7 linked regions of the Kluyveromyces lactis genome follow. The protein of the gene in region 5 purifies or fractionates together with the protein of the main gene of each other region. This does not show direct contact. Links are inferred from orthologs where the notes say so. Each region holds a gene or a part of one and is shown on either strand. Other genes may lie near its edges. The genes, in order: NOC4, RRP9, RRP5, MPP10, UTP9, SOF1 and BMS1.

What was found.
Region 1: the proteins of UTP9 (region 5) and NOC4 purify together in Saccharomyces cerevisiae (affinity purification with mass spectrometry; 7 studies listed by BioGRID). This does not show direct contact. The link is inferred for Kluyveromyces lactis from reciprocal best matches to the Saccharomyces cerevisiae genes UTP9 and NOC4.
Region 2: the proteins of UTP9 (region 5) and RRP9 purify together in Saccharomyces cerevisiae (affinity purification with mass spectrometry; 3 studies listed by BioGRID). This does not show direct contact. The link is inferred for Kluyveromyces lactis from reciprocal best matches to the Saccharomyces cerevisiae genes UTP9 and RRP9.
Region 3: the proteins of UTP9 (region 5) and RRP5 purify together in Saccharomyces cerevisiae (affinity purification with mass spectrometry, with the first as the bait; 3 studies listed by BioGRID). This does not show direct contact. The link is inferred for Kluyveromyces lactis from reciprocal best matches to the Saccharomyces cerevisiae genes UTP9 and RRP5.
Region 4: the proteins of UTP9 (region 5) and MPP10 purify together in Saccharomyces cerevisiae (affinity purification with mass spectrometry; 5 studies listed by BioGRID, with this or other methods). This does not show direct contact. The link is inferred for Kluyveromyces lactis from reciprocal best matches to the Saccharomyces cerevisiae genes UTP9 and MPP10.
Region 6: the proteins of UTP9 (region 5) and SOF1 purify together in Saccharomyces cerevisiae (affinity purification with mass spectrometry, with the first as the bait; 3 studies listed by BioGRID). This does not show direct contact. The link is inferred for Kluyveromyces lactis from reciprocal best matches to the Saccharomyces cerevisiae genes UTP9 and SOF1.
Region 7: the proteins of UTP9 (region 5) and BMS1 purify together in Saccharomyces cerevisiae (affinity purification with mass spectrometry; 4 studies listed by BioGRID). This does not show direct contact. The link is inferred for Kluyveromyces lactis from reciprocal best matches to the Saccharomyces cerevisiae genes UTP9 and BMS1.

The regions. Positions count from the first base shown.
Region 1 is NC_006038.1:952,674-956,184, reverse strand, and holds NOC4 (ribosome biosynthesis protein NOC4), read right to left. Parts: upstream 2,067-3,511; coding exon 501-2,066; downstream 1-500. Other genes in the region: PPT1 (protein serine/threonine phosphatase), read right to left, coding at 1-237; ASN1 (asparagine synthase (glutamine-hydrolyzing) 1), read left to right, coding at 3,350-3,511. UniProt on the Saccharomyces cerevisiae protein: Involved in nucleolar processing of pre-18S ribosomal RNA and ribosome assembly. Has a role in the nuclear export of 40S pre-ribosomal subunit to the cytoplasm.
Region 2 is NC_006038.1:970,261-973,754, reverse strand, and holds RRP9 (ribosomal RNA-processing protein RRP9), read left to right. Parts: upstream 1-1,290; coding exon 1,291-2,994; downstream 2,995-3,494. Other genes in the region: chromatin-binding protein CTF4, read left to right, coding at 1-925; KLLA0_B11055g (uncharacterized protein), read right to left, coding at 3,453-3,494. UniProt on the Saccharomyces cerevisiae protein: Involved in nucleolar processing of pre-18S ribosomal RNA. Required for efficient pre-rRNA cleavage at sites A0, A1 and A2, and biosynthesis of 18S rRNA.
Region 3 is NC_006038.1:728,644-732,649, reverse strand, and holds the start of RRP5 (Rrp5p), read right to left. Parts: upstream 2,801-4,006; coding exon 1-2,800. Other genes in the region: YPK9 (putative acid anhydride hydrolase), read left to right, coding at 3,967-4,006.
Region 4 is NC_006040.1:821,799-825,499, forward strand, and holds MPP10 (rRNA-processing protein MPP10), read right to left. Parts: upstream 2,328-3,701; coding exon 501-2,327; downstream 1-500. Other genes in the region: NOC3 (Noc3p), read left to right, coding at 1-401; AVT1 (Avt1p), read right to left, coding at 2,720-3,701. UniProt on the Saccharomyces cerevisiae protein: Involved in nucleolar processing of pre-18S ribosomal RNA. Required for the early cleavages at sites A0, A1 and A2 during 18S ribosomal pre-RNA processing.
Region 5 is NC_006038.1:376,679-380,293, forward strand, and holds UTP9 (Utp9p), read right to left. Parts: upstream 2,121-3,615; coding exon 501-2,120; downstream 1-500. Other genes in the region: XPT1 (xanthine phosphoribosyltransferase), read right to left, coding at 1-67; NMD5 (Nmd5p), read right to left, coding at 2,427-3,615. UniProt on the Saccharomyces cerevisiae protein: Involved in nucleolar processing of pre-18S ribosomal RNA. Required for optimal pre-ribosomal RNA transcription by RNA polymerase I together with a subset of U3 proteins required for transcription (t-UTPs).
Region 6 is NC_006042.1:1,438,447-1,441,546, reverse strand, and holds SOF1 (rRNA-processing protein SOF1), read right to left. Parts: upstream 1,938-3,100; coding exon 501-1,937; downstream 1-500. Other genes in the region: KLLA0_F15576g (uncharacterized protein), read right to left, coding at 2,414-3,100. UniProt on the Saccharomyces cerevisiae protein: Required for ribosomal RNA processing.
Region 7 is NC_006038.1:180,197-184,347, forward strand, and holds the start of BMS1 (GTPase BMS1), read right to left. Parts: upstream 2,801-4,151; coding exon 1-2,800. Other genes in the region: KLLA0_B02090g (uncharacterized protein), read left to right, coding at 3,522-4,151. UniProt on the Saccharomyces cerevisiae protein: GTPase required for synthesis of 40S ribosomal subunits and for processing the 35S pre-rRNA at sites A0, A1, and A2.

The sequences.
Region 1 (3,511 bases), about 580 kb from region 5:
GTTATTATCCAATTCAATTGCACGTTTAGCATCGTCTAAAGAACTTTGGAAGTTATCCAACTTTAGGTTGGTGAACGCACGGTTTGAATATAGGATCGTATTCTCGGGATCATGCTCGATGGCTTTTGTATAATACTCAGCTGCCTTTGCGTACAGTTTCTCCTTCACGAACTTGTTACCTTCATTCTTCAGCTCTAAGGCTTTCTCTGGATTACAGGCTTTCACTTCCTCAGTCATTTATTCAATAGTAGTGGTAAAAAAGCAGCCAACTGGTATGGTATGTGCCTTTAAGTCCTCAAGACCGATAAACGGAGCCCATTTTAAAGTTTTTTCTGATGTGAGTCTTTCTCTTCTTGATGTTGACTTGTTGATTTTTTTCATCTCGATGTTTCAATATTACGGCGATGTGATGAGATGTAATGTGAAGAGATTTGCGAAAGTGAAAGAAAGTACTCAATTTGGAATTGAACTACTTAAGTTTTCTACTTGAAATTATGTATTTACCATTTTATGAAGGGTAGGAATGCTGAATCAGAACCTGATTCGAAAATTGTTTCAAACCTTTCGAATTCAAGAGCAGGTTGGATCTTCAGCTTTCTATTGGTTTCTGCTTGCAAAAGTGAATCGTAAGACCAATCTAAGAAATCTTCGATGTTGTAGCTTAACTTTTGGAAAGGTTGTTGGAAAATCTTCGCTAAAGTGGCTACGTTTGGATGGTAGTGATTCATTAGCGTTTCTAGCTCCCATACTGAGGAGGAAAGAGCATTTGTAAGTTCTGGATTGGTTTCTTCATTGTTGAATGGATCTAGATATTCTTGCCTTTTCTTTGAATCGCAGTCGATGTATTCTGGATCGTGTAATAGAATCATACATGTAGGATGCTTTCTGATTAGATTGTACACGAATGGTATTATAGAAACAATAGCACCTGGTGGTGCCGATACGGATAAACGTGCCAAACGTTTGATGAATGACGCTACCAGTTGTGCGGATAAATGTGTAGAAGATAGAAAGGTGTCCACTAATCTGAAAAATCTTGATCTGTACTTAACGTGCATTACTTCTGGAGTTAGAAGCTGATATAGTTTTGAGTAGAAATTTGGATATTCTAGGTTGTATTTTTTCATAAGTTCAAACAAACCATTTAATGAAAGGATTGAAACGATACCACCTTGGTTGTAAGAGTCGGTAAGGAAATCCATAAGCTTTGTTGGTTGATGGAACCATACTATAATTCTCTTGTGTAGCACTAAAAGCACAGTTTTATATTGGCTACTGGATAAGTTGGCTAAATTTAGACAGTGCAACCAATTTGTTTCGAGGTTGGATTTAAACTTAGCATCATTCTCGATGGCTTGTGGGGGCACAGATACGAATATTTCCAAGTCTGGTGATCCCTGAACATCGTTGTTGCATAAAGCCAACCATTTAGACATCAAAATTTCGTCAGATGTTTGGCCATCAAGTTCTGGTAACAACGATATCAGTTCTGATTGTGTGTAGAATTGAATATCGAAATTCTTCTTATAATAGGCTTCCACAAATAGATTAAACACGGGATTCTCGCTCTGACCATCTTTGAAACCGATATCACCTTCAAAGTTACAATGGAAAAGAGCCACTAGTAACGATCTTAAAGTCTTATTTGGAAAGAAAGGACTATTTGGTTTCGAAGCCCAATATATCGATTCATGGTGAAGCATTTTCATATATGAGTCCAAACAATCTAAACTCAACGAGTTAACTTCATGCAAAGATGTAATGATAGCCAATAACTTAACCTTATAATTTAAATATAGTTTCTTACACCATTCAAAGAATTTCTTTTCATTGGCATTGGATGCAAGATGAGGCATCAATTGACCACGCTCAAAAAGTTTGATGAAAATCTGACTCAAAGCAATGGTCATATAACGGTAATCATCTTCCAAATTGTGCAACAATTCGTTTTCCTTTAGAAGTTCATTGTACCCATGGATTAGGTTCACCAACGAGTTGTAATGTTTTCTATCATTGCCGGTGCTAATAGACTTCCAAACTTGCTTAATCTCTTCCTTCGAGAGCATCTTGGTTAATCGCTGTCTGAATCCTTGGGAAACTTTTATATGTGAATTCCAATTATTTATTGCGAGTAATCAAACAGATTATAACGGTGAGAATATCCTACCTTAACGTTTCCTATTCGACTTCATCTCATCTCATCTCATCTCATCTCATCTCTTGATTCCAAATTTTTCAGAGATTCTTGCAATGTAGAAGACAATTGAAAAGAAATTATTCTTATCACGTGATCGCATTTCCTAATAAACTAGCTATCAATGGCGACATTAAATATATAATTTAGAGTGGTAAACCATTCTGTTGTCAGTCAAGTCTTGCCTGCATCACCTTGAATACGCACACTGATGCTCGTTCCTTCAGGGGGTGCGTATCCTCCAGTTCACGGCAGCCTATGAGCCCTAACAGCATACAAATTTCAACGATTAGTATAAAATGATCTAGCCCGAATTTCATCATATATAAGAGAAAGATTTATGAACCAAGAAATTACAAGACACAATTGGTGATGTAGAAGAGATGTAACTTTGATAGGCTTTACTTGTATTACTCTTTTTGGGCTTAAATCCACATGACCTTCCAAGTTTTAAAAGAAGACGATGATACTATTTGCGCTTTTTTAATTCTTACAATTCTTTCGTGGATGGGAATTATTTTCTGTTCATGGTTTTAATGGAGAATGTGGTGCCCTCGCAAGCCTTATAATCTTGTTACATTCTTTGAATGATTTGGGACACTTTTTATAAAATTCTGATTCTTTTTGGGAAGGTCATCCCATGTATAGACTTGATGTGAGTTTGTGTGTTTGAGTCTTGCTTCTTGCTAATATGAATCGCCTTGTGCGATTCATTTCAAAAACTAAACTAACTGTAAACGTAAACGTAAATATTAGATAGAAAAAAATGCCGTGATACGATGGTATCGTGAATATGACAAGTCGGAGCGGGAACAAATGAATCAACTATGAATCAGAGTTAGAATCTGGCACCAATTTTCATTTTCACTTCGTTACTTTTCGTTTCTCTGCTGCTTTGTCATATTCTTTTGATATGCAATTGATACTGAGTCATTTTCAATATCTCGAAAGAAAAAAGAATACGGCGATTCAAGCTCTGGTGAAAAATTTTGGAAAAAGTATAAAGAATTGATGCTCATCACAAGAAAACTAATGCTCGCTTGTAATAAGAATTGTTTATATGTTTATGTTAGGATCTTTGTTTTGTATTAGTATTGGTTTTTTACTCGCTCTTATCAATTAGATATACAGAATAACGAAGTAACAGGACCCAAGATGTGTGGTATATTTGCTTCATTCAGAAACCCTGATGTTCAGGCTTACAAACCAAAAGCTTTACAATTATCCAAGAGAATCAGACACCGTGGTCCAGATTGGTCAGGTAACATTGTTAAGAACTCTACTATTCTAGTTCACGAAAGATTGGCTATTGTCGGA
Region 2 (3,494 bases), about 590 kb from region 5:
AGTGTTCACCATTCATTACTCACAATATCATGGTATTACTTACTCGATGTTCCAACAACATCCGCAAACTGGCAATAAATACTTCCAAAGAGAATCTCCCTTACCAATAACGTTGCCTCAACAGAATCAGCCGGGAAATGATGATGAAGACATTGAATTTTTAAAATACGATGATATTTTCAATTCATTCAACCCCCTAGGTATCAAATCCTTATTCTTCTCAAGCTTTGGTGATCCGTGTATGTTTGGTCATGATAATGTTTTGTTAATTCTGTCCAAATGGAGAAGTGGTAGTGACGCGAGATGGGTACCCATAGTTGATACCAATTTAGAACTTTGGAAGATGTCAGGGGGTAAGCATCCGAAGAACGTCCACGTTTGGCCATTAGGATTAAACTTCGATACATTTTCGTATTTATTATTGAAGGGGAAGAACGCATGGCCAGATATCCCAATGACCGTTCCTACAGAAATGGAAGTCAGAATCCCAGTTGTATCAAAATCCGAGCTTCAAAAGACACAAGACGATAATCGTAACGACAGCAGCGATGTGGAAGATATTGATAACAGTAATGGTGTCGAAATTCCAATGTACCTAGCAGCAGAAGAGGAATTTCTACGCTCCAAGATACTAAGTGATTTACTAAAAGACACGATGGATAATGAAGGTGAGATATACGGAAATGAAACAGATCTATTACAGCATCTGGTAGCAACACATGATAAGTCCTTACTACGACTTTTAGCTTATGTCTGTTCCGAGCAAGATGTTAACAAGGCCGTTTCAATCGTCAACGAACTGAAGCAAGATAAGGCCCTATCTGCTGCAAGAAAAATTGCAGAAAGAGCTGAACTACTTCCACTAGTAAGAAAAATCAACACGATTATTGAGGCCAAATTTGAGGCCGATTTCAATAATATATGATAATCCCCTGTTCTTCTTATCTGGACTAGAATAAGTATTGTCAGTTTAAATAATAATTGATTTTCCGATCCGTGCATTGACGTTCATTTTCTGCCGTAATGTAAATTAAACTAAGTAATTCTAGCAATACCAATGAAATCAGGCATATAGGTCGTTGAATCGAGTAAAGTCTTCCAAACTATTATTTAATTCTGTTGCAAGTTCATGCATTCTTCAATTTTTGTCACTTTTCAAGTGGTGTCGTTTCTTTTACAAATTGGCGATACTGAAAAAAAAATTGTACATCTGAACCAACATCATTGAAACAGGCGATGAGCTGCAACTAAACCAGACGAGACAGCAACCAGAGGGCCACCAAGTACACCATGGCTAGATCTAGTACAAGCAATGTCTCAAAAAAACGTAATAGGGATTCTGTCGAAGAGGTAGATGAGGAAATCACGGATATTTCTTCTGATGAAGGTGATGTCCAAGATGAATCCAATGATGGCGATGAGGTAGCAGAATACTTGGAATCTGAAGACGAGTTTGAAGGCGAAAACCCTGCTGATAAGAGAAGAAGATTGGCTAAACAATATTTAGAGAATTTAAAGGCTGAAGCTGAAGATATTGGCGATTCTCTGGCGACCGCAAGCACTGAACAGGACCGTCAAACACAATTAGAGGATTACAATAACTTTGATGCTCGTGACTTGGACAGAGATATCATTGCTTCCAGATTGAAACAAGATGTTGCAGAGCAACAAGGGCGTATCTATAGATGGATTTCAAATAAGCTTTTGATAGGTGAATCCAGAACAACGTTTACAAGAGTAGGCGAAAATAATCTAACATGTATTTCGTGTTATCAACCCTCAGTTAACAAGTTTTCTCATAAAGATGTTCAAAATAAGAGCAAGGACAAAATATTTGCTTACACTGTTAGCAAGGACATGCAATTAACAAAATATGATGTTACTGATTTCAAAGCTAGACCAAAAAAAGTGAAATATGTTAAAGGTGGTAGAAAATACATACCGGAAGGTAAATTTGAGTACGAGAATGTGACAGAAGGTCATTACGATGAAATCTTAACGGTGGCAGCTTCTCCTGATGGTAAATACGTAGTTAGTGGTGGTCGTGACCGTAAACTGATAGTATGGAGTACCGAATCTTTAGCCCCTGTGAAAATTATTCCAACCAAAGATCGTAGAGGTGAGGTTTTAGGATTAGCATTCAAGAAGAATTCGGATCAATTATTCGCAGCATGTGCCGATTACAAAATCAGAACGTATGCTATTAACCAGTTTTCTCAACTGGAAATATTATACGGTCATCAGGATTTGGTTATTGATATCTCTGCCCTAAATATGGAGCGTTGTGTGACAGTGGGGTCCAGGGATCGTACCGCTATGTTGTGGAAAATAGCTGACGAATCCAGATTGACATTCAGAGGTGGTGATGATCCTGAAAGACTGAGGAAAAAATGGTTGAAGAACCAACAATTGTCCGCAGAAGGCGGAGAAGATATGCATGAACAGACCCCACCTCACTTTTATGGCGAGGGAAGTATCGATTGTATTAGCATGGTAGATGATTCACATTTCGTTACTGGCTCTGATAACGGAAATATATCATTATGGTCTTTATCCAAAAAGAAACCTCTTTTCACCGTTAGAACTGCTCATGGTGTTGTACCATTAGTTGAGGATAAAAAAATCTCTGGGGAAGTGAGCGATGAATTACGCAATGCACAATTACAAGGTGGATCCATTGCCCAACCATTTTGGATAACATCATTATACGCCGTTCCATATTCTGATATTTTCATTTCAGGATCCTGGAATGGAACCCTGAAGGTATGGAAAATCAATGAGAACTTAAGAGCATTTGAACTATTAGGAGACTTACCTAACTGTAAAGGTGTGGTAACCAAAATTCAAGCCGTAGAATCCGGCAGAACCGGTAGAGAAACCTTCAGAATTCTAGCAAGTGTCAGTAAAGAACATAGATTAGGAAGATGGATTAGCAAGGTACCAGGTGCAAGAAATGGTATCTTTTCTGCTGTGATAGAACAAACCGGATTCTAGTTAATCTTATCAATAGAAAAATCTCCTGTATAGTAAAAAGAAGAATACTTTAATAAAGCCGAAATACATTAGTAATTGTTACAAGGGTATATATTTATATATAGAGAGCTCTAACCGATCAATGATGTAGAGAACTAGGAAAGGATTAATAGAAATCATTGTGACATGATTTTGAGTAGTGTCTTTCATTGTCAGCCATGATAAAATAAGGTGTTAGAGAACGAATTTGAGAACAGATAAGATTTAATTCACATAGCCAGCGACGTAGAGAATTAAATGCGGGAACATCAAAGGAATAGCTCAAAGGATTAAAGGAAAAGATCGGGAAAAGTCAAATGGATTTTTTTATTTTAAGTATTAAGCGTTCCTCATGTTCTTGTAAACAAGCAAGGAACGAAAGAGTAATAAACAACACAAATCGTCTCAAGAGAAAGCAAACAACTCCCAAAGTAAAGGAATCATAGGAAGGCCAAAGCAATACCAGCGGCAGCACCAATCAA
Region 3 (4,006 bases), about 350 kb from region 5:
GTGAATCATTTTTCTTGTACACACTTAATGGTGCCTTTTGTTCTTTGATATCTTCGAAACTGTCGAAAACTTCAGAAATACTGATACGACCATGTACATTATCAGCCAACGTAACGTTAAGCTGGTTCTTCTTAACTGATGTAATTGTAGCCTTTGTAACCTTACCGATAGTGAAGTCCGACAAATCTTTGATAGACTTGTCGACTGGGTTAATTACAGATGAATTGATCTTCTTAACATCGGTCTTTTGTTTTAAAATAGTCAATAAAAATCTTTCATGTTCCTCATCTGTTCTCAATAAATACACGGTCACGGATTGATTGATGTAGTATTTCTTATGAATATCAATATCTCTGGTTTCTGCTGCATAACTTGGTAAAACCAAACCGACAAATTTACCATTGAATGCAACAAAAACACCACGGTCAGAAACAGATTTAACGTAACCATGCATCGGTTCTGTTTTGTCTTTATTTTTGATGTCGGAAAAACTTAAAGGAAGGGTACCGTCTTCAGCATCTTTAATCAATGATTTTTTACAGGACATGTTGAACACATGAGTCCTGATGTCCTTGTCCAAAACCAAACCTCTAACTTCAGAGTTAATCTTTAACTTTTTCTGCGAAGCTCTGTTTTGTTCAATTCTATCATCTGACAAATGGCCGGTGTAAATAACACCGCGCAACCCTGAATCTTTAGATTCTACGATGACGGAATCTTTAGTCTTTTCAATAACAATTGCATCGATGATAGATTTACCGACAACTAAAGATTCAATAGCACTCTTTTGCTTGGAAGAAGACTCTGCTGAAATTTTACAAGAAGCAATAATTCTGTTTCTTTCGAAGTCATGATTCAAAATTTTAACCAAAACACTTTGTCCTAGTCTTAAGTGTTCTTGTGGTTTCTTTACAAATGCTTCTGAAATTTCTTTGTTTGGAACGAAAGCTTTGATATTATTAAAGAACGAGATAACACAACCATTAGGCTTGAATATTTCAACAGTACCAATTGTTTTCAATTCTTGACTTTCAACAGTCTGAATATCATCATTTTTGCAGACTAACGTCACAGATTCTTCGTCTGCATTTACAATAGACTTTTTCAATGTCACAGTGACACGGCCCACAGAATCGACATTGAGAACTCTACCTTTAACCTTTGAACCAATTTTGAATTTTCTTTCAGGATACACAAGTCTGGTATCAGATATGTGTAAGGGAGGAACAAATGCCTTAAATTGATCATTGAAAATTTTTAATTCAATACCTTTTCCTGACACTGTGACAATCTCACAAGCGCTCAAAACTTCGCCTGCTGGAATATCGGACGATCTTAGGTATTTGACATCAAGTAAGGCTGGATCAGACGTCAATGTGTAAAGTTTATCTACATTGTTATAGCCGAGTATTCTTGCTTTCACAGTTCCCGTTGGTTCAGTTTCTCCTGCCTTTGACAAATGAATTTGTCCCACCTGTTCATTGTTGATTGATACGTAGAAAAATTGACTATCCCTGCCTTTAACTGTGCAAGAATCGAAGATATAGCCAACGGGGAAAGATTCTAACGCTTCGGTCTCCTGTAATTTTGGATGCAATGAGATGATATGAGGTTGTGTGGAAACGACAGCAACTTTATCGCCGCTTTTCACTATAGTGGTTGCCAAAATTCTAGCATTGACTAAGTCACCAATGGAGTAGTGATGCTTCAAATCCTCTACCGTAAAGAAATTGGAATGTGGCAATGGCAAAAATGCAGTTATTAGACCGAAGGCTTTACCGATAACACCGTGATTTGTGATAGTTTGAGGTAAAAAGTCAATCGATTGACCCGGCACGATGGCATCTATGGAAGAGATCTTTTCGACCTTGGTGTTTTTACTGGCCAAATCCAAGTTGACATTTACAGTTCTACCAGATCTTTTCGTCACTGTAGCTAAGAACACCATACCTGGTAACAAAGAACTGAATTCAGGTATATCCTTCTTTGAGATAAAACCTGTTAAGTTCTCAATACCGATATCAAGAATGGCACCGTGATCTTCTATACTTTTCAACGAACACTGTAGTGGACAGTTTTTAGCTAAATCATCATCTTCAAACACGTTTACTACAGAGGGTTCGATGGATAAGTCTAACTTTTTGTTCTTGTTTGATTCTAAAGCGCTGTTATTTTGTACCATGCACCTCAACCATTGGCCTATTTTGAAATATTTATTGAGATCAGGTAATTCTTTAGGAGTTGTTATGTCGCTTTCATCATCTGAAGAATCGTATTCTGAGTCCTCATTTTTTTCATCATCGCTTTCCATGGATTCGTCCAAATTTTCCAAAATCTTGGTCATTTGTTCAGAGATATCTGTTAATGAGACGTAACCATGCAAACCGTCCACCAAAGATATTTTCAGTTCATGTTTGCTGATCGATTGGATTTGACCCAAGACAATGGTCCCTTTGGTCATTTGTTTCATTCCAAAATGCTCAATTAAATCAGTCTTGTCCTCTTTTTCTTCATCATCACCTGTGGTAATTTGATCAAAATTATTCTTAGCATTCTTCTTTTTCTTCTTCGTTGGGCCCTCTGCACCAGTAGCTGATTCATCCTTGCCAAATAAAACATCAGCAACCACTTCGTTACCAACCTGCTTAACTTCCAATGGGGATAAAGCAGAAGAACCACCTCTTGGAAATGAGATTTCCTCGGATTTACTCAATGCAGATTTGGCTGGTGCTTCGGTAGCATCCTGTCTTACTAAAGGAGACTCATCGTCTCTCTTTCTTTTACTTTGTGGAGCAACCATGTTTGTGATCTTTTTCGGTATTTAGATATGCCTGTTTTCAAAACAAATTACACCTAGCAATTTAGATGTAAACCTATGTTTTTCTTGAAGTGTCTTGCAAACTATTGAAGCTCCTGTTCCCAAGTTGTTGTTGTTTTTGTCTTCTGTGAAGATAGAAACCAATAAAGCCAATAGAAAGCACAAAGCAAAAAGAATTCAGAGAAAGATACAAAATATGTTATACCAAACTGTTTCCTGTTTGAGAAAGTAAACCAGACTTATCTTTACCAGAATTAAGAAAGTTGCACTTGGTTTCTAGAATCAACAAAGCTCAGAAATGTGTTAGCATACCAATACAAATGATCCAGCACTTAAGTAGCTAAAGCTCATCTCATCTCATCTCATCTCATCGCATCGATTTTTGAAAATTTTCAATATTAAAAAAAAGAAATCAAAACGACATAGACGAAATGTAATCGCGCCTTTGATGCAGTGACAGTTTAATAATGGAACGTTGTACAGATCTTCCGTTGTTATCACTGGAGTTTGTTTGAACCGTATCCACGGATTAGGGTCTTTTGAATGCATGACATACTTCTTAACTATTAAGGGCTTTTGTTAGCCAGTTATTCTATCTTCTTAAAGAGGTATAATAATTACATATCTGTAATGGTGGAAACCATGTAACTAAAAGGTTCTAGGGGAGTGATAAGAGTTTTGTTGGTCATGCTAAGAAAAATTTGTGCAATTACGAGTGGAATGCCTTCTATGGTAATAGTTTCAGATCAGACTATATGTTTTTTCTCTTTTTTGTTCAATTTCATTTCTAAAGGTACTTTCACAGCCGGAAATATTTATTATAAGGCATAAAAGCACCATCATATTACAGTCTAAAGCTGTTTCTGGCTCCTTTCGATCCATTTTCAGGGGCAGTCTATATATCTATCGAACTACGAGAGTTTTATCAACACAGTAAAGTTCCACATTGTAACGTGAGGTATCATTGGCCTGCCTTTTCTCCTATCCTTCCTTATGTATTATGTGTCTTGGTATGAAATTTCATTAAATCAATTATCTTCAATTTATCAACCTACATTCTCATATATATCAGAAACCTTTAAAAAGTAATATGGAGTGGATTCTATCAATAGATAAGGTCGACCAACGCACCTTTGAAGAGGGACTCAATGTCATCATTCGACAGCAGATTTACAGGAATACCCCATA
Region 4 (3,701 bases), on a different chromosome or scaffold from region 5:
ATGAACTCGTCAAACCATCAGTTAACGTATCAACAAAAGCAGAGTTATTGTTGAAAGCCCTTGATCATGTCTTTTTCAGATCAAAATCTGGCACTAAACAAAGAGCTGCTGCGTTCACAAAGAGAATTTACATGGCTTTGCTGCACACTCCAGAAAAAACATCAATTGCACTGCTGAAGTTTTTGGATAAACTAACTACCAAATATCCAGAAGTACTGGGTTTATACTCTACAGACGATAGAATTGGAAATGGGGAGTTCCGCATCGACACAGACTTACCAAGTAGAAGTAATGCAGAAGCAGCAACTATATGGGAAAATAGCCTTCTTGTCAAGCATTACAGTCCTTCTGTTGTAAAAGGTGTAAGATCATTATTCCATAAATCTCAAGAACATAAATAGTTTGGGGGATAAAAAGATAATTAAGAATTCTCTTATTTACCACCTTCATTTCAATGCAATTGCATTAATTATAGTAATATATACTTACTGTAACAGTGTCTATAACTTGAAATTGATGTTACCAGATGCATTATCCTTCTTTATATTACCCTTAACATCAGTTTTGGCACCCTTTTTATCGATAACGGTTATGTTCTTGGATTTAGTCAAGGTATTAAGAACATCATCCGTCTTACTCTTCTTTCTAGGTTGTTCGGCTCTTTTCGCAGATAGCTTCGATCTCTTTCTCTTAGCAGCTCTACGGAGTCTGTTTTTATCCTCTCTGGACAGTTCATCTCTGGACATCACCACACCATTCTTCAAAGTTATTTCATTAGAGTTCTCTGATTTACCAACTTTGTAGATTTCCTGAGGAGCTAATGTGGAACCACTTGACATTGTTAGTGGTTGTGCATCTTCCATAGAAATAGCGGCGGTTTGCACTCTTACTTCAAGATCTTTCTTTATCGGCTTAGGTATGAAGTGGGCTGACGATAATGCATCTAGTTTGTAAACCAAATCTTTATATAGCTCTGAAATTTCATCGTGACTTTTCTGTAATTCTTCTGATATTTCAGTATCCTCGGTAACACCTTTGAAATCATCTTCATAAATTTCAGCTAGTGATTTTGATGACTTTACATCACTTAGTTCGAATCTTGGTTTATTATTGTAGCCTGAAATATCGCTGATAACCCTCCTCTGTAGATCGTTAAAATCTTCTTCCTTGATCCTTCTACGGATCATATTCTCGAGAGTTTCTGTTACCTCAGCTGTTATAACTGGCACAGGTTTGGCAGTTCTTTCGAACTCAAGATCTTCCGTTAACAAGGCATCTTCTGGCCTATCGCGAGCTTTTACTTCACCTTTTAACGCCCATTTCTTCTCAGCAACAGCTTCCTTTTCGAGGGATTCTATTTGTCTTTTTAGCTCAAGTTGTTGACGTTCAAAGGTAGATAATGGTTGTTCAGCAGTTTCTTCATCTGATCCCTGAAAATCATCGTCTTCGTCAGCAAAAAGATCTAACTTAGCTTCCTCCATTGCATCATCATACTCGCTTTCGTCAAAGGATTCATCCTCTTCGGCCTCTGCTTTCTTTGAAGGTCCTGGCCGCCTGTCCTGGGAAGATTTTTTATTAGATGGCTTATCAAAGAAATCGTCGTAATATAGAGCTTCTTCATCTTCCTCCGATGGAACATCTGCGAAATAATCAACTTCTTCGTCATCCTCATCTTCTTCATCTGCATCTTGGCTTCTATTCTCAGCCTCAAGTGTTTGTCTATTGAATTCATCTAGATTGAAAAATTGATCGTTTACACCAAACTTGTCTTCGATCGCTTGTGGACTTTCTTGTGCTTCTACAAATTGATCATCAGGTTCCGAATCACTTTCGTTTTCCAATTTATCTTCTTCCTTCTCATGTAATTCTAAAGGTTCTGGTTCTGAGAACTGTTGTTCTTCATCTAAAACGAGCTCTTCATTTTCTGCTTCTTCCTCCTCCTCTTCAATAGCAGACTCTTCAGAAACTGGAGCTTCGTCTGCAGACATTTCATTGGAATTTTCAACATTAGAGGCATCATCTTCGTCTCCGCTGCTTTCCTCGCTCATATCATTCTCATTATCAACCTTCAGTTCGGCGATTTTTTCCATGATATCACCTTGAACATTATCTAAAATGATTTTTGACTGCCACCATACCTGGTTAGCATCTAGCCCATCAACCACTATCTCATCTAATGTTGTCTTTGAATTTCCATTGTTTTTATTCAGATTGATGACTTCGTCAAAGTAAGTCTTCACTGCCGATAGTGGTTCCTTGGACTCCAGAGCATCCTGGGAAAGAAGTCCAACAGGATTAGTTTTCAAAATTTCCAAAAACTGACTCATGTTGTGTTATGTGTGGGTCAGTGAAACGTTACCTATTTACTGGTGTAGCTGTAGTGGATGTATCGATACGATCAAGCTGCTACTATAGACGCATATTTCGTACATGCTGAGTGATGCGATGAGATGAGTTTTCATCAATTTTTCAGGTATCCAAAAATTTGAAAAAGAAAAAAATGATGGGAACTGTCGCCAATGCGGGTAAGAAGAGAGATAATAGACACAGTTGTGAGGCATTGGTTGGGTGATGAATACTAGACAGAAGTACATATGGGTGAAAAGTCATTATATGAAGTGTGATTCCCTTAGTTTGGGTGCTAAAATTTTGCATAAAGACACGTAGATGCATATACAAGAATGAGGTGCTGGCAAATTCAACAGCATTTGTAGGTAATTCATGAGGTGAAGGAGGCGTATACTCCAAGAGTGGATAATACTGCACTAATTAATATCGTAATATTACACGCTATCAATTCCCAAGATTTAATGGTTTTGTAGCAAATTCTTTTGTAGAACAAACATGGCAGAATGAAACAAATCATGAAACAAAGTGCAGCACCCAAGAATGCAATTATTTTGTCAAATTCAGGGAATAAAATAGCAATAATCACGAACATAACATTCACCATGATTCTGTTAAATATTCTGGTTGCCTTTGCGAAAAAAACCTTCGATGCTGGTTTAGTTTCATCGATGTGCACTACGTTAAACATTGAATCAAAGATGGAGACAATCGGTCTTGCATTAAGTGGTGTTTTGGCAAGTGGAATCAGTGAAAGAAGAGTTGAAATTAGGCCATAAACAAAAGGCGGGTATCCTGGAGTCAATAACACACTTCTTGTCACTTCATTCATAACAAGATTACCGAACATTAAAAATCCAACGACAGCAATTCCGATATCAGTAACAATGGTGATGCTATAAGTGGTCTTCAAACAACGAGTAAACTTCTCCGGATGCCTCATATCACTCTTTAAGTTGGGAAAGACTGCGTGACCTCCCCAGCATGCACTCAATAACCCTAAGGAAAGACAAAACTCCTTGAATGAATTGGGCCACATCGATGTGGCTTCTGGTTGCAATAATGACCCTGGTGAATATTGTTTTAGCAACCCACAGAAAACTACTAACAATGCAGTTCCAATAGTCGAGATAATACCCAACAAAGAGATATTTGATAAAACACTTAATGGCAAAAATATTGGAGGAGTAACTGCAAAAAAAGCGACGAATTTGAAGAAGTTGACCGAATATTCTGGGAACAACGCGTTCAATGAATCACCGAACAAAATGATCAAGGCTACACCACATGCTAATAAATCCATAGCAAATAGGAACGAGATCAATGCACGACCTTTTGGACCAAAAGCTGCATAT
Region 5 (3,615 bases):
GCTTATGAATATTATTGTACGAAATGTACATCTTGCTAGTATCAGCTCCAGAATCTTCCTGAGACATCTTTAAATTTCAGATAGGCTATCGACAATTTGGGTGGTTCGTATAGCGCTTGTCACTAACTATATTAGCGAAATGCAATGATACGAATACGCGAGGTGATAACTCAATGGTAATTCGGCTGAAGATGAGATACCAGTTCTTAAAAAGATGCGATGAGCTTTAAAACTTTTCGAAAAAAAAAAAAAGAAATCTTGTTATCTGAGATCAGCAAAGATTCCCATGTGATGAGATAAGCTACAACACAGCCAGTTGTAGCATAAGGATTTAGAACGTTATTCGCATAGGAATAGTGTAAATAGCGGCTCTAATAAGCGAGGGGAAAGTAAAGGTATTTGTATTTCCGCAATTCTTTGATGGTTTTTCTGGATGGAATTAGGATCTATATATGCGGTACTAGTTATAATGAAATACGTAGTATTGGTATCAACGGTTATTATTCGGAAGCGTCATTCAAATCATCAGCTTCTCCATTTTCATATACGAATTCTTGTTCGTCTTCCTGTTCTCTGTCTTGTATTTCATTAACGTCTTTGCCATTGATTTGCATGGATGCTAATTGTTTTCTCAAGAAAGATTGTCCGGAAAGCATTTCTAATTTACCTTGAATGGAAAGGAGAGTTGAGAGAGACTCCGAGCTGGTCCTTAAGGACGACCTTAGGCGTTTTGTCATTTTGTTTGTGTTTGAATTGATAACCTTGATTTGAGATCTACGAAGAGTTAATAGCCATTTGAGCCATACAGAGGCTTGGCCTGCTGAATCAACATTTGCTGATATATGTTGCGCAAGCACTTCAAACAACTTATTAGTACTGTCTTCGTTAAGATCATCTCTGACAAATAATTGGATGTTATTATCCGACCATGGTTGTTGTAAAAGAATTTCAAGAATTAATTCAGAATTCATATTGGCTTCTCCGAGAGCAGTGATTAGCTTCTGTACAGTTTCATTTTGTTCCTTTTTTGAAATTTTTCTATCAGATTCAGGTTCATCCTTGGCGACGATCTCGTCAGGGACCAGAGAAGCTTGTTTCTCGGTATCAACTAAATTGAACGCGAATTCATTTTGTTCATGCAGTTGAGATTCAGATATTACTTCGAACTTAGGCTCATTCACATCGATCCATGCTAGTACAATGTTATCATCTTTGATCTCAAAATCTAAAATTTCAGAGTTCTCGACTTTTATGCTTGCAAGCGGTTCTTCTGCATCTTTCAGTAAAACCTTCATTCTACCTGCAGTGTCCAATACTACGATATTATCATTAATTACTTTCACCTTCTCGGATTCAACATCCCATTGGCATAGTATTTTTTTCTCTGGTAAAGAGTAGAGGGAGACTTTTGATACATCGGCAATTACGACATGGTCTTGATCATATACTGTACATGAAATTGATCCGAAATTTTCAATCTTGCTGAACGTTGAAGGCCTTTTCTTAGATGGATCTACAAGATAAACGAACTCTTCTGTGATGACCGCCAGAAGTAGTTTTTGTGGGAAACTTAATACCTGGAAGTTGATGATATCTTCATTCTTACCATCCGTTAGATGGAACGTTTGTAACGGCTTTGTTGTAGCATAGTTGAACCTTTTCACAGTTTTATCGTCATCTAACAACCATATAACATCATCTTTCGAATCAATGCCTAGAATTTCTTTCTTGTTCTGTATGATATTAATGATCTCTTTACCATTAGCTGAATGCACAACAATCTTTCCACTAGGGAATACATTTATAAAATATTGCTCTAATGGAGAGTTCGCTATCTCTTCATCGGCTCTTCTTTTCACACTTCTCGTTTTACAGTTGTTCTCCGCGGAAGAATGGTTGCTACACCAGGTCAAAAGGTTCACTTCAGAGACTACTAAGTCATTGCTCTCATAATCAATTTGAAGAACCTGAGAACTGTTTATATGTAAGTTGCTCACGTCTTCTAGTGGATATAAGTCAATGGAGTTCTTTTGGGACCTATTGGATTGAAATGCGAAAAATGTTGCTCCTGGAGAGAAACTAGTAATGTAATCACCAGCTGAGTAACTAGATTCAACCATTCTATAAACTGGTTCAATATTTCTGTCGCTTCGCCTCAGAAGTTGCCGGTACTAATGGTAAAGTTACCTTTTGATCACATCGAACTCTTTACCTTCAATCTAGCTAGGCTATTAAGTGATGAGATGGATGGAAATTTTTCAGTAACGCCAGAAAAAGAAAAACTCTTACCCGGCTACAGGTAAATAGCAGCTGCTCGAATGGTCAGCACGTGAACTATTATGTCGGCGATGCAAAAGTAGATAAAGCTATATGTATATACATTCGAAATTAATACAACATTTGAATGACTGACAAGTCATTTCACCTTATGTTGTGTGCAAAGTTCTGAGAAAAGCTTGTTGGTCTTCTGAAGACATGCTACCAATGAAGTTTTGATACTTCTCTGGTTCAGTCTGCTCCAATCTTGAGAAAGTGTGTTGGAAAAGTTCATAGATGTTGACGTCATCGAGGATGGATCCAGATAATGGGTCTTCTTCAAGTTCATCCATATCATCTTGGTCAAGGAACTGGCCCGATTCATGGATTAGTTGTAGGCTTCCGGCTTCATTCTTCAAGAATTTTAGATATTCTTCAGCATCGCCAGCAGCATCTTCATCATCGTCTTCGAAGTCATTCCACTCATCGTTAAATCCATCAAACTTACTGAATGCATCACTTGAGAATTCTTGACGTTTATCCTGTAAGACCTTCAGTGCTGCAGGGAACTTGTTGAATAAATCATTCAACATTGGCCCCAATTTCAGATACACGGCCTCGATGTGTAACGAGACATACTCTTGCATGGGTACAAGTGTTAGAAGAGATAAGGTAGCCATGATCGACAACTTAATGTCAATGACTCTAGTAAACTTTGGGAGATAGAACTGGATCCAAATTTCAAGGAAAGTCGTAAGAAGCTGTTTGTGGTTTAGAAAGTTCAATGATTGTGATGGATAGTATACCATAGATGCTAGTATAACGTTGAATGCATTGACACCATAATTTAGATGAGTTTTCAAACTGTTTTTTTCCACTTCTATCGCTTCAGTTGTAGTAGTTAAAAATGTACTCAAAAATTGTTCTGGGATTTTGTCTCCGAATGCCAAAATCATCTTTTGTGCAAATTCAAACACGACGCACATTTCGTCTAGATCCTTGTCCTCGTTTTCATTTGCAGTAGCAGCTTGGAATATTTCAAATAGTATATTAGTGTAAAAAAGGTTTTGCTTCAATTCGTCCTTACCGTAAATTAAATAGTTAGAAATTGCCATCATAAAATCTTCCAAGTAGAAAGAAACCATACTGCCCTCTTTCCTATTGCAATCACCAATCAACTCTAACACTTTCCAAGAAATCGAAGAAACTTTACGCAGTAGAAATGTAGAATTCTCAACAAATTCACACACTTCACGGTAGAAATCTTCCATATCATTCTTTAGAATGAACTCAGCAGCGGGATAGAAAGAGTGCTCTAAACTCTCGATAATTTCAGTTGAATTTTCAAAAGAAAGTAAA
Region 6 (3,100 bases), on a different chromosome or scaffold from region 5:
ATTCATTTTATGCTTTGTTTATGCAAACGATTGCATATATTGGGTCTTTTTTTTTTTTGCATGACCACATCTTCTTCTCTCTCTCTCTCCCTCTCTCTAATATTCATTGCCATAGTTTCAAATTGATAGACTCATTAGTACTATAATACTCATCATATTATATTGGGCAAGCAAGGCTGGTTCTTCTTGTGTTCACTTCCTCTTTTTTTTTTTTTTCTTTTTCTCTCACTTTTATTATGGAACTATACTTCTAATCTAATACTGTAAAAGAATATGAAAGGATTCAATTCGTTACATGCAACCCATGATTCAAATTATAAAGAAGATATCTGCTAATCTCGGTAAAAGATAGTTCCTTGCTAAAAACGATTTTTCATTGAAAGGAAAACTTGATCAACTACCTTGATTTATAACTTCAAGAAAAAAGAGACATGTTTCGAGCTTATTAACGTTACAAATTTATAAATATCTAATTCAAAACTGATAGAAATTCATATATTTTATTCATCTTCGGAATCGTTGGATCTATTCGAATTAGATTTCTTGTCGTCCTCGTATTGAAAGACAGTACCGACGATTTGTTTCTTCCTTTCAGGTAAAAATGGCATGTCTTTCCTTGTCTTTCTTTCGTTTCTTTCCCTTCTCTTCAAAGAATCAATTTCAATCTTCTTAATCTCTTGAGCTTTCTTAACAACCTTAGGGACGTGTCTGTGCCTGCTAATTCTTCTGACCTCTGGCATGTGCTTGAATCTTTCTTTAAGTTTTTCATCGTATTCCAACTTATTCTTTTCACGTGTACTCTTCGCATTAGATCTCTCCCATGCCTTGGCTCTCCATAGTCTAACGTTACCATCATCTGAACCACTTACTATATACTTACTGTCCATGGTATATTTCACTTGGAAAATATGCTGCATTCTCTTTGTATGATATATTTCTCTCGAATGACCATGTTTAACTTGGTAAATTCTGATTGTCTTATCATAGGAGCCTGTTACAACTTCGTCACCAGTAGGGGAAAAATCAACATCCATAACAGCACTAACATGATCTTTAAACACATGCAAAGCTTTGGACATATTTCTCATATCATAGTAATAAGCATTATGATCTTCATTGGCAATTACGAAGTTGAAGGCTTCCACTGGGTTCCAACAGATAGAGTTTGTCCTCATGGTTTGAACAATTTTTTGTGTTGGAGAGTTTGTTCTTAGGTCATAAAGAACCACAGAGTTATCACTACCCGTACTTGCTAAAATGTCGACCTCATTTTGATTAAATCTAACATGATTGATATTGTCCGCACCCCATGAAAGATTTGATATTGGCTTTGATCTGTTTGTATCCCAAAGTTCGATTTGGGCACCACCAGTAACAAAATTCGATTTTTGTCTATGATGATCCAAAGATTGGAAAGCATGTTCACCATGGAATGTTTTGATGATACCTTCATCTGTATTCAATCTTGTATCATCTTTAACGTTGGAAAAGTCGTCAGAATTCACTGACCATAGCTTCACCGTCTTATCGTCACCACAAGAAAGCATGAAGTTTTCTCTTTGTGGAGATAAATATGAAGGAGTAACACACAGACCAGTAACCATACCGTAATGTGCCTTGAATGAACTTAACTCTTCTCTAGTTGACATGTTCCAGTACTTGATAACACCGTCACCACTAGCCGTAGCAAGTTTGTTTAATACATTGTAATTCTTTGCAATGGTGTACACACCATCCCTGTGACCGTATCCAAGCTGACCGACAAATGGCTTAGCAAACATTCTTTCAAGCTTGGTGGCATTCAAAGCCTTTGTATATTCTCTAGCTCTTTCGAATGGATGCAGAGCCGGATTTAAATTACGAGGCATCTGAGACTCTTGTGTGCTCTTCACCGGCACATAATCATCGGCACTTCTGCTGATAGTTTTGATCTTCATTTCGCTATTCTTTCAATATCCCCAGTTGGCACTAAATATGGTAGACCTTGTGCTAGTTAATCAGCAACTATGATATGGAAACAGTTCCAGTGGTTTCCTCTTCCCATTCCCTTTCACTGCTTATGATGCGATGAGATGAGATGAGATTTGCATTTCGATAACTTGAAAAATTGTTAAAAAGAAATTATGCCGAATATACAAGGACGATATAAGATGACAGTTAAAGACCTTATTAAAATAACAACAACATGATTTAGCCATTGCTACAGTCACTGAGTACTTGAGTTTCCAAAGCTGTATTGGGATTATCTTTGTGTACCCTTTTTTTACCGTTTAAGTAGTGTCATTAGTATATTATATATCTTACAAAAAATGTAATGATTGCAGAACTGTATATCTATATGTTGGGTTGCACAAAATGGAAACAAAGTGTCAAAATTCCATTCTAGTCTGTGATTCAAAGTTATCTGTATTAATTAACTGGCAAATGTCGGTTTCGGAATTCTCAAATGTGCAAGCATTGGGTTACCAATTCTTTCGATAACGTCACTGGCCCATAGAACATCCAAATGTGAATACTCATCAATATACCAGATTTTGTAGACAGAGTGTGGTTCGTGGTTGATAAAGTGATTAATCAATCTTTCTCCGTCTACAAGTCTATCTTGCCTGGGTGTGAAGAGTAAAATCTTTGGCCAATTTTCTGGCAAAGGTTTATGTTGATTTCTGTGTAAATGTTCATCCATACTTACTGTTTCATTTTGTATTGGGAACCAGGTCTTGATGTCGGGGAACATGTCTTCGGCGAAAGTCTTGAAGCTTGACTTTAAAGGGTTAAGACTTAACCACCATTGCATCAATTTCACAGATATATGCACTGGAGAAAATAGGAAATGTCTATCACGCAAGGGTCTGTCCCATAAAATATCGTTCCAGTTGAACAAGTAGTTGAACATGACGTAAGACAAAAATGAGAATATCTTGTGTCCGGCCAACAAATTTCTCATCTCCATCATCATTGGTACAAATGATTTGTTTCCGAATACCCAGCGATTATCTATGTGTTTCGCCATAAACTTAACGAAATATTTTTCATCGAGTAGTGGACCGGGATAAACAGCAGGTGCTAATGCAACTAAATTATCTAATTTATCACTCAATCT
Region 7 (4,151 bases), about 200 kb from region 5:
ACATATCCTTTATGAAGGCAGTGTTCTTGAAGATTTTGTAAGGATAACCAACAAGCTTTAATTTCTTCACAATTTCTACGCTTGCATCGATCTCCTCTACAATACCAGTCGCAGCTATTCTGAAACTTCCAGTTGTATCACTGTTAGCAACTATTTGAACACCACAGAAAGTGGTATTTGGCGAGCACAAGGGACCATAGAAAGAAGCTGTACAATAAGCATGTTCTGGAGTATACTTCAACATTCTAGTCCTGGTTCTAGAGTCACTAGTGGTGTATATTGGTAGAGTTTGGAAACGTCTCCAACCAAGAGATAAAACTAAAGGATCATTTGTCTTGAGAATCTTTTTGTGCCAACGATGTCTTCTGACTCTTGCATTAATAATTCCGAACTTCAATTCTGTGGGAAGAAGACCTCCCATAATTACTGGATACTTTGGGTTGAAATTTTCGATGAATTCCATAGGAACCTTATCGAAGACAATACGAACATAAGACCCAGCTTTCATACCTTCGATTTGTTGCCTTTGTTCAGGAGTCATAGATTCCAGTTCGGCTTTATTGATTTCTAATTGTTTAGCAATCTTAGCCTTCTGTAATTCGTACCAGGTATCGTATTCATTTTCAGGGTCTTCTCCAAAGTTGTCTCCTTCTTCCATTTCGAATTGTAACCTTAATTTCTCTTTTTTTGCGGCATTCAATTCACGCTCTTCATCCTGGGTCAAATCCTTCTTTTCTTCTTCTTCGAAATCAGCGAACGATTCGTTGCTATCAGATTCTTCATCTCCTGCAGCAGAATTCTCCTCCTTCTCATCTGTGTTTTCAGGCTCAGCTTCTAAGTCCTCAAAATCACCGTATACTTCATCTTCATCATCGTCTTCATCCTTTACATCATCAGAAGACTTGGTGTTTAAGGATGGCTTTCCAACAAATCTGTCTTTGATTGAATCGGCAGTTGACCATCTTTCAACAAGGTCATTGAATGTATCAAAATAAGGAATAAATCTTTCAAGATCATCGTGGTAAGTTACTGCCTTATTCGGTGTAGTATTTGTCTTTTGGGTGAAGAATTCAGTATCTTCATCGTCTTCTAGATCTTCTTCAACTTCAGTTTCGTCGGCCTCGCCGTTCCATCTTTTGATTGCATCAGCTGGAGCAATGTTGTCCATGTAGATAAGTTTGCTGATATCCCACTTTCTTCTTTTATTCTTTGTACCATTCAATTTACCAGCTGTGGTTCTTTCCCAACCTTCAGAATCAGATGCATCCAATTCTGAATCTGTCTCAAAGGCCATGTTTTCAGGTTTTTCGTCATCAAAATCAATTTCAACTAATTTAGTGCGATGTGCTTCATCTTCGTCATCATCTTCATTATAGTTTTCGTTGTCACTTGATAAATTATCGAGATCTGCGTTAGATTCCTGAAGGGATTTGCCGTATACTCTTGCCTTTCTTAAGGAAGATCTACCAACGTTTCCTCTATCAACATCATCCTCGTCTTCGGTGTCTTCTTCAACTTCTTCATCCTGATCTTCAATAGCATGTAACTCAGTACTATTTGAGAAAAGCTGCAATCCAACATTCTCGAATTTTTCATCAATGGAACGAGATGTAGCCTGTAGGTTGGACACGATCTTGTCACTTTCATCTTTTTCCTCTGCAGTCATTGAGTTTGGACCTGTCTTACCGCCAACATCAATGAACACGGCATCCTTATCCATAAGTAAACCACCAACGTCAGACATTGGAGCATAGATCAGCTTTTGTTTATCATCCAATCTTTTACGTCTTCTTACAGTCGTTGCTGATGTGGAACCTTCTTCCTTAGCACGTTCACGTTCAAATTCATCTAATTTCTGTTGGTAATAAGGTGTCGGACAAGGATCAGGCAATTTCTCAACGTGATCGATCTGGTAGTCACCTACACCGGCGATATGGACCCTGTAGCCTGGAGTCGAAGGTAACGGAGTACCGTGTAAATAACCATAGATGGCGACTTTACGATCTATATGCATACCCTTCGATTGTAAGAGTTCTGGATGAGTTAAATCGGATATTCTATCGGCCAATAAATAAGGATGTTCGTTTCTCCATTGCAAAGGTCTGAACTTCATAACACTTATAAACCTTGACAAGTTCAAAATCTCTCTATCTGGATAACGACCGTTAATAACACCAGAAAGGTAGAAAAGCTTGGCACCCTGATACACTTCGGTCCAGAACCTATGTTTCAAAGATTTCTTAGAGGCACGCAATGTTGACTGGGATTTGAAAAGATCCAAATGTGTAGCGACACCTAGTACACGAGGCATACCATGATGTTGAGCCAAATTCAAGAATTCCATGGTCTCCATTTCAAACCCGAAATTACCATCCATCATCAAAAGCACCAAATCGGCCACTTTTGAAATATCGATCATGGAATTCAAATCATCCGCAGGACATTCGATAAAAGTCAGCCTTCTACGCTTACCAGAAACAACAGTAATAGGACCGTTAATTTCGGATAAAGTGGTCTTTGTCAACCTTCTCACTAACGATTTGATCAAAGTAGTCTTACCGGTACCTGGAGGACCAACAACAGCAATAATGATCGGAGGAGGATCATCATCTGGGGTACGATCCACCATCGGAACATGCAACTTCTTCTCATTCTTATCACCCGTACGTTGCATCTGCTTAGCCATTTTCCCCGGAGCGGAGACAGCAAAGGCCTTAGCATTGTGGCCCTGAGAATGTAACTTCTTCTTGGCACCAGCCTTCTCCTTCCGCTTCCTATGTTCTTTATTCGATTGTTCCATTGCTGAAGCTTGAGAGTCTTAAGATGTATTCAGGCAATGTGATTCGAACTAACTGGCCTAAAGTGACCCTTTTGATTCAATTCAAGATACTAGAATCTTTTATGTTCACCGATGAGATGAGATGAGATGGTTGAGCTTCTTCATGCAATTTTTCATGCAGGGTAAGAAAAAGAAATGATCTGAACCTTGTCGATATCTAATCACGTGATTCTGCACGTGATCTGATTTTTAAGAATTTAAGGTATTCTGTCAGTTTTGTAGATATTCCTACATGTCTCTGCCGTAGTAACTAGGGCCCAAGGGCATATGGAAAAAAAAGCGTTCATCGAAATTCGAACATCAAAATGAAATCGAAATCCAATCAAATGCACAAACAGAACAGGATAGAACAAAGGTCAATGAATCAACGGTTGGATTCCGAATAAAAGTCGTTTGTTTCATTCGTTTCCCTAAAAGTTGTTGTGTTTTTTATCTTTAGTTCGTTTGTGTGGTGATTTGGATTTCACAACAAGAACTGTACGTTCTACACCAGTTATATTGTTGTGGATACGAGACAACATCTTTTGGTCATAGAAAACACATACTGTTCTTATTCTTTCCAATCTGTGTGCGTGTAATTTTTACTGAGTTGAAGCAGGAAAGCTAGGATAACAGAGTCTTCAGTGGTGTGTGTTTCCTTGTTGAGCTTTTTATTTTTTGGATAGAATACACAGTGTGAGCAATGGTTTTGTATAAAAGGAAAACGATAACGTTGCCAGATGCTAGGCCATTACCGTCAAATATCAATAGGAAAATATGGTACATTCAAGAGACAGGGGAATGGTTTTTGACTTATGCAGAGTTTTTGCAACGATTGGATTTTTATAGGCGACATTATTTCACCTGTGAGATCACTGGTACATCATGTTTAACTTTTTTTGAAGCGTTGAACAGTGAAGAAGAGCAGTTCCAATACGTTGAGAAAATGTTCCCTTTAAAATTACGTGAACCTGTTGCAAAATTCATCCATTTCAACGAGATTAGAAGGCTAGATATGCTCGTCGAACAGGTATATGCAAGATTTAAAAACGACTATTTCCCTGGAGAAACGGTATACCTACGGAAAAGTAAGCAAGATTCCTCACATGACGATGCTGAAAAACATCATCAGCACTCACATGGATCACAGCATCAAAAAATTTACATTATCAAAGAAAAGGCTCAGTTTAATGCAGTTATAGATAGAGATACAAGGCAAGAATTGGTTCCTGCCCATGCAAAATATATGTTACAGGAAGCACAAGGTAGTACTTCAATCGTTGCCGATGAGGATCAGATTTATCGTGATAGATCATGTTTCACTAAGCATTTG